2 linked regions of the Mus musculus genome follow. Each later gene encodes a partner of the first gene's protein in a complex. Links are inferred from orthologs where the notes say so. Each region holds a gene or a part of one and is shown in the gene's direction. Other genes may lie near its edges.

What was found. Proteins that work in one complex are often made in the same cells at the same time.
Region 2: the proteins of Kidins220 (region 1) and Xpr1 are in contact, whole or in part, in a cryo-EM structure (PDB 9JXQ), measured with the Homo sapiens proteins. The link is inferred for Mus musculus from reciprocal best matches to the Homo sapiens genes KIDINS220 and XPR1. Residues at the interface, in NP_065789.1 of Homo sapiens: Glu36, Cys37, Gln39, Asp70, Trp72, Met102, Trp105, Trp110, Tyr113, Lys114, Val138, Ile142, Trp143, Gly146, Arg147, Ser166, Asp167, Lys168, Tyr169, Gly170, Trp176, Arg179, Lys180, Gln198, Glu199, Gly200, Ala201, Ser203, Lys234, Arg267; in NP_004727.2 of Homo sapiens: Leu95, Lys189, Lys190, Gln193, Glu197, Ala200, Asn204, Glu205, Ala636, Asp637, Asp638, Leu641, Leu642, Gln644, Met645, Met646, Asp647, Gln648, Asp649, Asp650, Val652, Arg653, Asn654, Arg655.

What each region holds. Positions count from the first base shown.
Region 1 is NC_000078.6:25,008,625-25,014,403, forward strand, and holds part of Kidins220 (kinase D-interacting substrate of 220 kDa), read left to right. Parts: coding exon 1-68; intron 69-1,447; coding exon 1,448-1,588; intron 1,589-2,270; coding exon 2,271-2,514; intron 2,515-2,875; coding exon 2,876-2,964; intron 2,965-4,672; coding exon 4,673-4,817; intron 4,818-5,779. UniProt on the Homo sapiens protein: Promotes a prolonged MAP-kinase signaling by neurotrophins through activation of a Rap1-dependent mechanism. Provides a docking site for the CRKL-C3G complex, resulting in Rap1-dependent sustained ERK activation.
Region 2 is NC_000067.6:155,311,415-155,317,193, reverse strand, and holds part of Xpr1 (xenotropic and polytropic retrovirus receptor 1), read left to right. Parts: intron 1-3,832; coding exon 3,833-4,023; intron 4,024-4,255; coding exon 4,256-4,435; intron 4,436-5,779. UniProt on the Homo sapiens protein: Inorganic ion transporter that mediates phosphate ion export across plasma membrane.

The sequences.
Region 1 (5,779 bases):
CTCAGAGAAAACGCCTCCATAGTGCTGCCTCCAAATTACATAAGCTGAAAAGTGAAGGATTCATGAAAGTAAGAACTTGTCACTAGATAAACTAGTGGGAATATGCTGCTGTCCCCATGCTGACTTGAGCATGCTCTCGAAATGTTAAAAGTTACGTTCAAGGGTTTTGTTGTTGTTCTGTTTTTATTTGCTCAGTAGTAGGGACTTGTGCATACCAGGCAAGTACCCTAAGACTCCAAGTCTATTGCATTTAATTTAGTTTAATTAGTTTGTTAGGCTTATAGCAAACTCCATATATACCCCATGTATCTTTTTTTTTTTTTTTTTAGTTTTTAAAATAAATTCATTTATTATATGTAAGTACACTGGAGCTGTCTTCAGACACACAAGAAGAGGGCATCAGATCTCATTACAGATGGTTGTAAGCTACCATGTGATTGCTGGGGTCCAAACTCAGGACCTCTGGAAGAGCAGTCAGTGCTCTTAACTACTGAGCCATCTCTCCAGCTACCCCATGTATCTTGTGCACAGCCTCTGTTATCAATACCTGTCAAAGGAGTGCTATATTTGTTCAGTTGATGGACTTGCATTGGTTCGTCATAGACTCAGTGTCCACAGTTTACATTAGGTTCAGTCTTAGTGCTGTGTGTTCTTTGGGTTTGCACAAATGCTTGATAACATACCCAAGATTACAGTATGTTTACTGCCATGAAAGTGCCTGCCTCCTCTGTTCAGCCTCTGTCTCTCCCAGCTCCAGTCAGACCCTGATGAGTTCACTATCTCAGTATCTGTGTCTTTCCCATGATGTCATGTAGTTGCAACCATGTAGCATGTAGCCCTGTCATATTGGTTTCTTTCATCCCTTTTGTAGCTTACAATTGCATTGCTTTTTAGGCCTGAATAATATTGTTGCCTGGAAGAAGAGTGTACGTTTATTCAGTTTCCCACAGAAATATATCTTGTTGATTTAAATATTAGTAGTTATAAATAAAATTGCTATAAGTATCTGTGCTCAGGTTTTTGTGTAGATGTAAGTTTTTAGTAAGTAAGTTTTAAGTTTGGAGTAAATACCAAGAATTGTAACTACTAAGCCTTATAGCTTGAATATATTTAACTTTGTTAAAAACTAGATGCCATCAAGGAGCCAAGAGTAGTGCAGCCACCAGTAGGTGTTTTGGGTGGAATTCAAGTCCAAGGTTTTTGTCATTCATAGTCTTTAGTTTTGACAAGTAAGTCTCTCAACCTCTTCTGTAGTCTGTAAATTCCTATCATAGCATCCCTTGATGACATCCTGAGAATCAAGTGCTATCAGTCATAACTGAAACCCCTACAACAGGTTTAAATGCCTGAAACCCTGAAGGGATTTCTTTTCCTCCATTGGATGGATTTCTCTTGTGCTTCTAAAGGGATGTGCCTTATCTTCTGGTGTCTTCTGTGCCTTGTGCAGGTCCTGAAGTGTGAGGTGGAGCTGATGGCCAGGATGGCCAAGACCATCGACAGCTTCACGCAGAATCAGACGAGGCTGGTGGTTATCATTGACGGCCTGGACGCCTGTGAGCAAGATAAAGTGCTGCAGATGCTGGACACTGTACGTTTCCGCTGTCTCCACACTTGTCACTGTGGCCACGTGGGATGCATGACTTCACAAACTATCTCAGTGGGATGAAAACTGTGCTGCTTATTTAAGAAACTCTGCTTTCTCTAGTGAATCTCTCGCTCACAAGAACTATGTTTTAAAATTCAGAATTATAGCAAAAGTTAATGTTTGATCAAGAACGATTAAGTCATTTCAGCCTGATGGCACTTTAGGAAGAAAACACAGCAAAACCTCACAGAGAGCATCTCTGAGTGACAAGTGTGGCTCAGTATGCAGCAGTCATGTTTGTCCTCTGAGAGGACAGAGGGGACCAGGAGAATTTGTAGTGCTGTGATCTGAGGTTTGTTATAAACAACAGTGGTTAACTGAGTATGCAGAACTCACATGTGCTCACCGGAAATTGCCATGTGTTGATCTTACTTCTGTGTAAGCTGCAGGTGTCTGGGGAGGAACCCACATTAGCAGTTCCCTTTGTTAGTTGTGTCACTGTGGGTAGATGATAGCAATCTAAGATTGAGCCATCTATAAAAGTTGTATATATAGAGAATAAATTTTGATGAAAAAATGAATGATATTAAAAATATAGCACCAAAGGATAGTACATATTTTAAAAAAGATATTTCTTGTATAATTTAAAAATTCGCATCACGTCCATACCTTTCTTTTACCACAGGTCCGAGTTCTGTTTTCAAAGGGCCCTTTTATTGCCATTTTTGCAAGTGATCCACATATTATTATAAAGGCCATCAACCAGAACCTGAATAGTGTGCTTCGTGATTCAAATATAAATGGACATGACTATATGCGCAATATAGTTCATTTACCAGTTTTCCTTAATAGTCGTGGGCTTAGCAATGCAAGAAAATTTCTTGTAACTTCAGCAACAAATGGGGACATTTCGTGCTCAGAAGCAACAGGTAAGTATCAAGCCCTAGAGTGCTCAAGCTTGAAGGCAGCTTGTAGAAGGAGGGGTTTATTTAGCTATGCTCCAAAGGGATAAGAATTCAGCACCGTTATGGCGGGAAGCGTGGCAGTGGGGCTGGAGTAGCAAGCTGAGAGTTCCCATCTTACACTGCAAGTAGGAAACGGAGAGCAAACACAAAGGCATACATCTTCAAACTCTCAAAAGGCATCTCCAGGGACACACTTCCTGCAGCAAGCCTCATCCCCTAAGCCTCCCAAGCAGCAGCCTCAAGTGGGGCCCAGTGTTCAGACACAGGAGGCTCTGGGAGAAACTCATTTTAACCACCACAGTGCTGTCCCAATGCTTTCTTCCAGGAGTGCAGGAGGATGCTGACAGAAGAGTTTCACAGAACAGCCTTGGGGAGATGACAAAGCTTGGTAGCAAAACGGCCCTCAACAGAAGGGTAAGGTGCCATTCCTGCCGTTTAATGGTGTGATTGAATTTTCCTTAGAGTGTTGGGGTTGAGCCTTTCAAAGCCTTCCGCATGCTAGGCAAGTATTCTGCCACTTAGCTATATCCTGACTCTGATTTTTATTTTTTTAGCAGTCATTCAAATAAAATTAAGTTTGTGGCACCTAGTGTTCTTCTGTAAACAATGCCTAGTGTTCTCTGTAAACAACGCCTAGTGTACTCTGTAAACGCCTAGTGTTCTCTGTAATCAACGCCTAGTGTTCTCCTGTAAAGGCAAACACGAAGCTAAGCTCTTGAGGTCGGTGCGGAGCTCCCTTTCAGCGTCAGCTGCCTCAGAGCTGCCTGGAGGGTAAAGACCTTCATCAGGGAGGAGGCCCCCACCCCGCAGCCTCTTCCCAGATCACTGCTGACTCTGCACCTAAGTAGTAAGATTTCCTAGCCAGCAAATGATCGTGGCCTCACGTTCGTTCCTGAGCAGGTGCCGGCCCTACTTTTTTTTTTTTTTTTTAATCTCTTTAGGTTCTTTCTCTTTGCCCAATGTTTACAAGGTCTGGATTGTAGTCTCCACGCCCAGGTGTGATTCAGGGCCCTTCCCAGTCTCCCTGGGTTTCTGGTTCAGTGCTTCAGTCTCTCTGTCCACCCATCTTATTTGTAGAGCAAAACCAGGTGTATTTATTTAGGCTTGTAAAGTGGGAAGGTGTCCACAGGCAGGGGAGCTTTGCTGATAATGTCACTTACGGATGGCTGACGTGGGCTCATACTGGCATTGCCTGTTTTCTTGTTTGCTACCATCTGGACATTACTTTGGTTTTGTTTTGGTTTTGGTTTTGGTTTTGGTTTTTCGGGACAGGGTTTCTCTGTATAGCCCTGGCTGTCCTGGAACTCACTTTGTAGATCAGGCTGGCCTCAAACTCAGAAATCCACCTCCTGAGTGCTGGGATTAAAGGTGTGCACCACCACGCCCAGCTTTTTTTTTGGGGGGGGGGCATTACTTTTTAAACCTTGTGTCTTTGGCTTTGTGCCCACATGCTTTGCAGGATATGAATTCAGAGATAATATGAGTGACAAATGATAGCGCCAAGGTCAGGGGGGTGTGTGATGCTGCATGTTGGATTTCTCTCTTGGCAGCCCAGGTTCTTGGGGACCTATGGTTTCATCTACCTTTCCCATGCGTCAGGACTCGGGGGAGTGTTCTTCTCTTAGGAGTGGGATACCTTAGCCACTCCAGCCCACTCTACAGGGTGCCTTCAACTCTTTGAGGAAATGCCAGGGAAGTTAAGAGTGGCTGTGCCTGGGATAAAATCGTGTTACACTTTAAAACACCCTAAAAATAGAGATGCTGAATCCCTAGAACCATGAAGGAACTTACCTGCTTTATTGTTTTATGGCTCCTAGTACGAGGCTTTATGGAGCTTGACCGTGATTTTCTTTACAGAGTTCTGTGCACTTCTTATCTGAGACATTACGTTTTCTCTAACACATGGGATGCCTGCCTGCCAACTCTACTGAGTCATTGCTCTGGAAAGTGCCTCAGAAGTGACTGTACTTGACTAGCCTGCAATCTTTCTCTTTGGTTAATATTGTGAATTCTGCTTTTCTTACCCACTGAGTTGGCTCTGCAGTCTGTTTTGTTGGTCTTACCATAAGCGTGCATGTTAACTCTCAAGGATGGGTGTTTCTCACTGGTGCTGTTGTTTCAGGATACTTACCGCAGAAGGCAGATGCAGAGAACCATCACGAGGCAGATGTCCTTTGATCTCACAAAGCTGCTGGTTACTGAGGATTGGTTCAGTGACATCAGTCCACAAACCATGAGACGGTTACTCAATATTGTTTCGGTGACAGGTGACTTTTGTTTTTCAAGTTCTGTGACAGATAATAAGTTTTATTTTGTTTATATTGTTTTGAGATAGTAGGCATTGAACTCAGGGCTTGTGCAAGCTCTGTGAATGTTGTGCTATTGAGTTGCACCCCCAGACTCACCATAAGTTTTAACGTTAACAGAGCACTTTGAGTGTGAGCTGTGTTGGTAGTGGTAGATGATAGTAGTAACTTTTTTGTAATAGTACTTGACAATCTGATATCACTTGGGAATTTATCTTAAAAGTTCATCATTTTAAAGTTCTTTTACTTTATATTTAGGCTAAATTTATATAATTTATATAACTGAGCACATTAATATTTGTGCTGAAATTCAGATTTTTATATACTGCCATATTATTTCAGTTTTTCTATGATAATTTGAATAAAAATATTTGTAATACAATGGAGACTATTAGCTAGGCAGTGGTGGCCCACATCTTTAATCTCAACACTCTGGAGGCAGAGACAGGCATATCTTTGATCAGGTTCAAGGCAAGCTTGGTCTACAGAGTGAACTCTAGGTCAGCCAGAGCTAAACAGAGAAACCCTGTCTCGAACCTCCCAAGCCTGCCCCATTCCCCAAAAAGGAGCTTATTGCTATGACTGAATTCTTTGTGTGGACGCTGCTCTTCTGTATGTTAAGGCTAATTAGCATGAGAGCAGTCATAGACACACTTGCATTTTAACTTCTAGAATGTGTGTCTTTCCTTACATGGTATTGCTTGGTACCTTCTGGTGTTTCCTAGTGTTGACTCTGTCAATTGGAATTGCATTTTATACTAAGTTTAGGGCTCCTGACGTAAACTGTATTATAGGTGGGGGTCATACCTAAGATAACATTTTATAGTTATAAATCTCTTTAAATGAGACTTCAATCTTCCAATGCTGGTTCGACAGAGGAACTGTTTCCTGATATTATTGCTAACACCGACATTCTCACTTGA
Region 2 (5,779 bases), on another chromosome or scaffold:
TGAACATGTATATATGTATTTGTATATGACTTCTTCACTTAGCATGTTTTCAACATCCATTCATGTTGTGGCATTATTCAATACGTCATTCACACACAGTTTGTTTATCCATTCATCCATTCATAAATATTTTGCTTCTTCTAAGTTAACATTTTTTATTTGTTCGTTTGTTTATATTATTATACTGGGGGACATGGGCATGTGCTCGCTGTGGCTCACAGATAGTGGTCAGAAAACACCTGTATGGTGACTTAGCCCAGTGAGTTCTTTCCTCTTATTGGGGCCAGAATTGGAACTCAGGTGTGTAGGCTCGGGGCATGTTTAGCTTTATAGACAAATACCTTATTGTTTTCTATAGCGGTTATACCACTTTCCATTTCTATCAGTAATGTATGAGGGTTCTGTTAAATCCATCCAAGTGGATGTCAGGTATTTTGTTATTCTTTTAATTTGCATTTTCCTAATAACTAATCATTTCAATTTCTCCTAGGCTTGTTAGTCATTTATGTATTCTTTGGATGACTAAATCTTTTGCCCACATTTGCTTTTGTCTGAAACTAGAAGAATTTTTTTAAAGATTTATTTATTTTATATATGTGAGTACACTGTTGCTCTCTTCAGACACACCAGAAGAGGGCATCAGAACCCATTACAGATGGTTGTAAGCCACCATGTGGTTGCTGGGAATTGCACTCAGGACCTCTGGAAGAGCAGTCAGTGCTCTTAACTGCTGAGCCATCTCTCCAGTCCCCCAGAAGAATTTTTCTTTCATTCTTAAGAATTTTTTGTTCAAATTATCTGATTTTTTCTTTTTTATATTTATTTACACACACACACACACACACACACACACACATATGTAAATACATAAACACACACACAGCCAAATACTACATTGTGCTGATTTATCTTTTTTTTTTTCACAACGAATATTTAATAGTTTTAGTTCATGTGTTAAGGTCTTTTAAAAAAGATCTCATCAGGCTGGCCTTGAGCTCACTCTGTGGACCAGGCTGGTGTTCTACCTCTGCCTTCCAAGTGTTGAGATTAAAGTCACGTGCTGCCATGCCCAGCTTATTCTCAGTTTTGAAATAATTTTTGGCTGGGCATGGTGGCACATGCCTTTACTCCCAGCACTCGGGAGGCAGAGGCAGGTGGATTTCTGAGTTCAAGGCCAGCCTGGTCTACAGAGTGAGTTCCAGGACAGCCAAGGCTACACAGAGAAACCCTGTCTCGAAGAAAAAAGAAAATAATTTTTGTCTGTATTGTAGAAATTAGAAAATTCTCTTCTCTTCTCTTCTCTTCTCTTCTCTTCTCTTCTCTTCTCTTCTCTTCTCTTCTCTTCTCTTCTCTTCTCTTCTCTTCTCTTCTCTTCTCTTCTCTCTTCCTTCCTTCCTTCCTTCCTTCCTTCCTTCCTTCCTTCCTTCCTTCCTTCCTTCCTTCCTTCCTTCCTTCCTTTCTTTCTTTCTTTCTTTCTTTCTTTCTTTCTTTCTTTCTTTCTTTCTTTCTTTCTTTCTTTCTTTCTTTCTTTCTTTCAATGCCTAGTTGTCCTGGCACTAGCTGAAGAGTATGTTTTTCCCGCGGGATGGGATGTTGGTACACTTGTTGAATGTCAGTTGGCCATAGATATATGGTTTATTTGGGGTTTTTCAATCCTTTTCTATTTGTGTATAAATCATTTTTATACCCTTGTTCACTGTTTTGATTATTGTGCTGTTATAGTACATTCAAAACTTGAGTATGAATTTTCCAACTATTAATATTTTATTACTATTTTGGTTATTGGAGACCTTTTATCATGTAAATCTGAGGTTTGACTGTTCTGTTTTGTTTTGTTTTGTTTTTTTTCTGAAAATAAAATGGCTGTTGGAATTCTGATAGGGATTGCATGAAATGTGTAGATTGATATGCTGCCATCTTAGCAATATCAAGTCTCAGCAAGTCAGCAACCGTGGCATTTCTTTCTATATACTTCAGTCTACTTTAGTTCCTAAATGTTTTCTTACTCTTGACATGTGAGCCTTTGACCTCCATGGTTAAAATTACTACTAAATGTTTAATTGTTTTGTTTTGTTTTTTTCAAGGCACGGTTTCCCTGTGTAGCCCTGGCTGTCCTGGAACTCACTCTGTAGACTAGGCTGGCCTCAAACTCAGAAATCCACCTGCCTCTGCCTCCCAAGTGCTGGGATTAAAGGCATGCGCCAACACTGCCCAGCTTAAATGTTTAATTCTTTTAGATACTGTTATAATTAAAATTGCTTTCCTAATTTTATTTTCAGATTGCTTATTGCTTTTATATATATATATATATATATATATATATATATATATATAATACACACACACCACTGAATTTTGTGTGTTGATTGACTTTGTGTTCTGCAACTTTGCTGAAGCTACTAACTCTCACAGGTTTATTGTGGATTCTTTGGAATCATCTATATTTTGTAATATATCTGGTGTCTTAGGATTCATAATATAAAGCTACAAATGTGTTTTTCTACTTTTCTAATTTTTTAACTAATCTTGACTCTGCTGGCTCTCTAAATTAAATAATTTATCCTACTAAGATTTGATATCTGGTTTATATGTTTGATTGCAAAGCAAGCACTTTCTCTACCCTGTTGCTTTTAAGTTATTAAATATTTTTATAAATAATAAATGGTTGTTTAAATTAAGTAAGTATAACTTGGTAGAGATGAAATGAAAGAAACACAGTAGGTGCTGGGGAAACTCACTTTTATAAAAATGTGATGTATCATGCCGGTTACTGGGAGTGTTGTAGGATGGGGTTGGGAAAAGTAAGTTGCAAATTAGTAAGAGCTGAGATCTCAGAGCTGAAGGATTTGAACATCATAACTCTAAGAAAGCTGTAGAGTAGAGATGGTACTGAGTGTTGGAATGGGCATGTGAGCAACACAGTACTTGAGAGCACCAGCTTTGTACAAAGTTATAAAGATTGCAGTTATAAAGGTGTGGTGGTAGAGGCAAGTGGGCTCCTTCAAGTTCAAGGCCAGGCCAACCAAAGGCTACATTTACATATACATCAATAATCCAGAGCAAATTACGCAACCTATCTGTGCTCCAGTTTTCTCAGTCAACATAGACATAGTAATTTAAATTCACAAAACAATTATACTGATTCAGACTAACTATTACATAGAATAGCACCAGGAATAAGACTAAGTCCTCACCTTATTAAGCATTCTATACATGTTGACTATGATTTATTTATATGGCATTTAAATTTTCTCATTGTCTTCTTGTGTTTTGTGTCTTTTCATTTTGCAACAAATCTGTGAGATAGGAGTTAATGTAGCCAGTGAAAGCAATGTTGAAGAGGATGTACCATACAAGAAGCTCCCATTGACAAAACTAGTCTTATACTAGGCATGGTGGTGCACATCTTTAATGCCAGCAGCACACAGGAGGCAGAAGCAAGAGGATTTCTGAGTTTGAGGCCAGCCTGGCCTACATAGCATGTTCTAGAATAGCCACGACTGCACATCTCAAAACAAAAACAAAAGCTGGTTTTACTGTTCAAAGCCTTTTAACCCTGTTGTCCTATAATTTAGAAAACAAAACAAAATTAAAAACTTATAGATCAATGGGATAACATGATAAAAAAAGCTTTGAGAGAACTTGTTCTAATTGCACTTTTCAGAGCAGAGAGGCAGAAAAAGCACCTCGGGGCAAGACTCCTAAGATAATCTAGATGCAGATTGTCTCTGTAGCAACGTCCAGTATAGGGCTGTGTCTCAGAGAATGAAGAGAAAAGATAATTAAAGGGAACATTGTAGATTTCATAACTAACCATTATATTTTCTTTCAGCTGTATTTAAACTTGAAACAGATAGAACTGTATGGCCCTTGATAAGAATCTATCGGGGTGGCTTTCTTCTGATTGAATTCCTTTTTCTACTGGGCATCAACACATATGGTTGGAGACAAGCTGGAGTAAATCATGTCCTCATCTTTGAACTTAATCCAAGAAACAATTTGTCTCATCAGCATCTCTTTGAGGTAATGAAGCACAGTCTTGTGAGTGTGTCCTCACTAAGTGAATGGCCGACTCACTGGGAGTCTCATGAGTGTACTCCACTCTGAGTGGCCGATCTGATGCCTGCTCAAGTCCATCTCCCATTTGAGGATTGTTGGATTGTTCATCGTTTTTTCTTATTTTTGTTTATTAAAGATTATTCTGTGTAATGATAAGAAGTAACTTTCTCTCTTTTGTGTTCCTTGTACTTTATAGATTGCTGGATTCCTGGGGATCTTGTGGTGCCTGAGCCTTCTGGCATGCTTCTTCGCTCCAATTAGTATCATCCCTATATATGTGTATCCACTAGCCCTTTATGGGTTTATGGTCTTCTTTCTTATCAACCCCACCAAAACTTTCTACTATAAATCCAGATTTTGGCTGCTCAAACTTCTGGTAAGTCTAGAAGGTGCATACAACATTTTTAGAATAGTGCATTAGCATTGGCTTCCTCCAATGCCACACACGGCTGCTGGATTGCACAGCCTCAGAGGCACATCGCACCGTGTGAGTGGTCCCAGCTTCAGGAGCAGGTGCTTCTGATGGATACCAGATAACCTTGAAAGTTTAAACGTGGCAGCCCTGGGAAAGTGCTTGACATTTTTTTCCATCCTAAAATGAAGTATAAAGTGACCAGATAGTGAGTTGATTTTATACATTTTGATTAGTTAACCAGTGTGGCAATATATAGACCTTTTTTTTTCTTTCTAAAGAAAAGAGAGCCAGGCATAGTAGTATCATGAAATTCCTTACTTAGGAGTTCAAGGCAGAAGGATCAGAAGTCCAAGGTCACTTTATACTGTATTTATGTCAGTATTATCTTAGATTACCTATAATTGTAGAATTCCTATAAAGTGTTTATTTGTTAAAGGTTTGTCTATTTTTACCTCATTCTTATATGTGAGTGTCTACATATATGTATGTATACCACATTCATATATGTGGGTGCCTACATATATGTATGTATACCATATACGTGGCTGGTATTTATGGAAGCCAGAAGAAGACATCTGATCCCTGGAGCTTAAGGTGCTGGGAACTGAACCCCCATCCTCCACAGGAGCAGCAAGAACATTAACTACTGAGACACCTCTAGTTTTCCTATAAAATTATTTCTAAATGAGTTTTTTTGGAAGATTCTGAAAGCTTACTGTGATACTATTGTAATACCAGGATGATGTAAGTGTGTACCTGTGTGCAGTTCCCCAGTGTGTCCTTTGTCTAAGTAGGAAAGCCATGATTTCATGCATGACTACTTTCTCTGATTAGTTGAACGATCTCTGTTGAGTGGATGTTTATGTCTGGGTCTGCACTGTGTTAATAATGCAGACTGGTTGATTGAAAAGGCTGGCGGGATGTATAAGAAGGATTAACACACTAGTAAAAGCCTTCCTAGAAGCAGTCAGAGAAAGAAGAGTAATTTGTTGCTTTTGTAATATTGTTACTAAAACGCAAGTGTATAGGTCATTTAAAATCAGTTGACCTATGTATTTTATTCAAATTTCATTGATAAGATAGTCCCTAAAATGTATGTCAGAAAATTAATAGAATGTTTTCACTGTAGTTATATTTCTTTGAAAAATTTTTAAATACTTGTCCTAAAATAAAATTCTTATTTCCCTTGATTTTCACCTCCATTTTTACTGTGAAAAAATGCTTGGTCTTATCAGTAAAGACCACTCACCATTTATATTCATAGTTATATGGGAATCTTTGAAATTGACATATGCTACCTTCCCT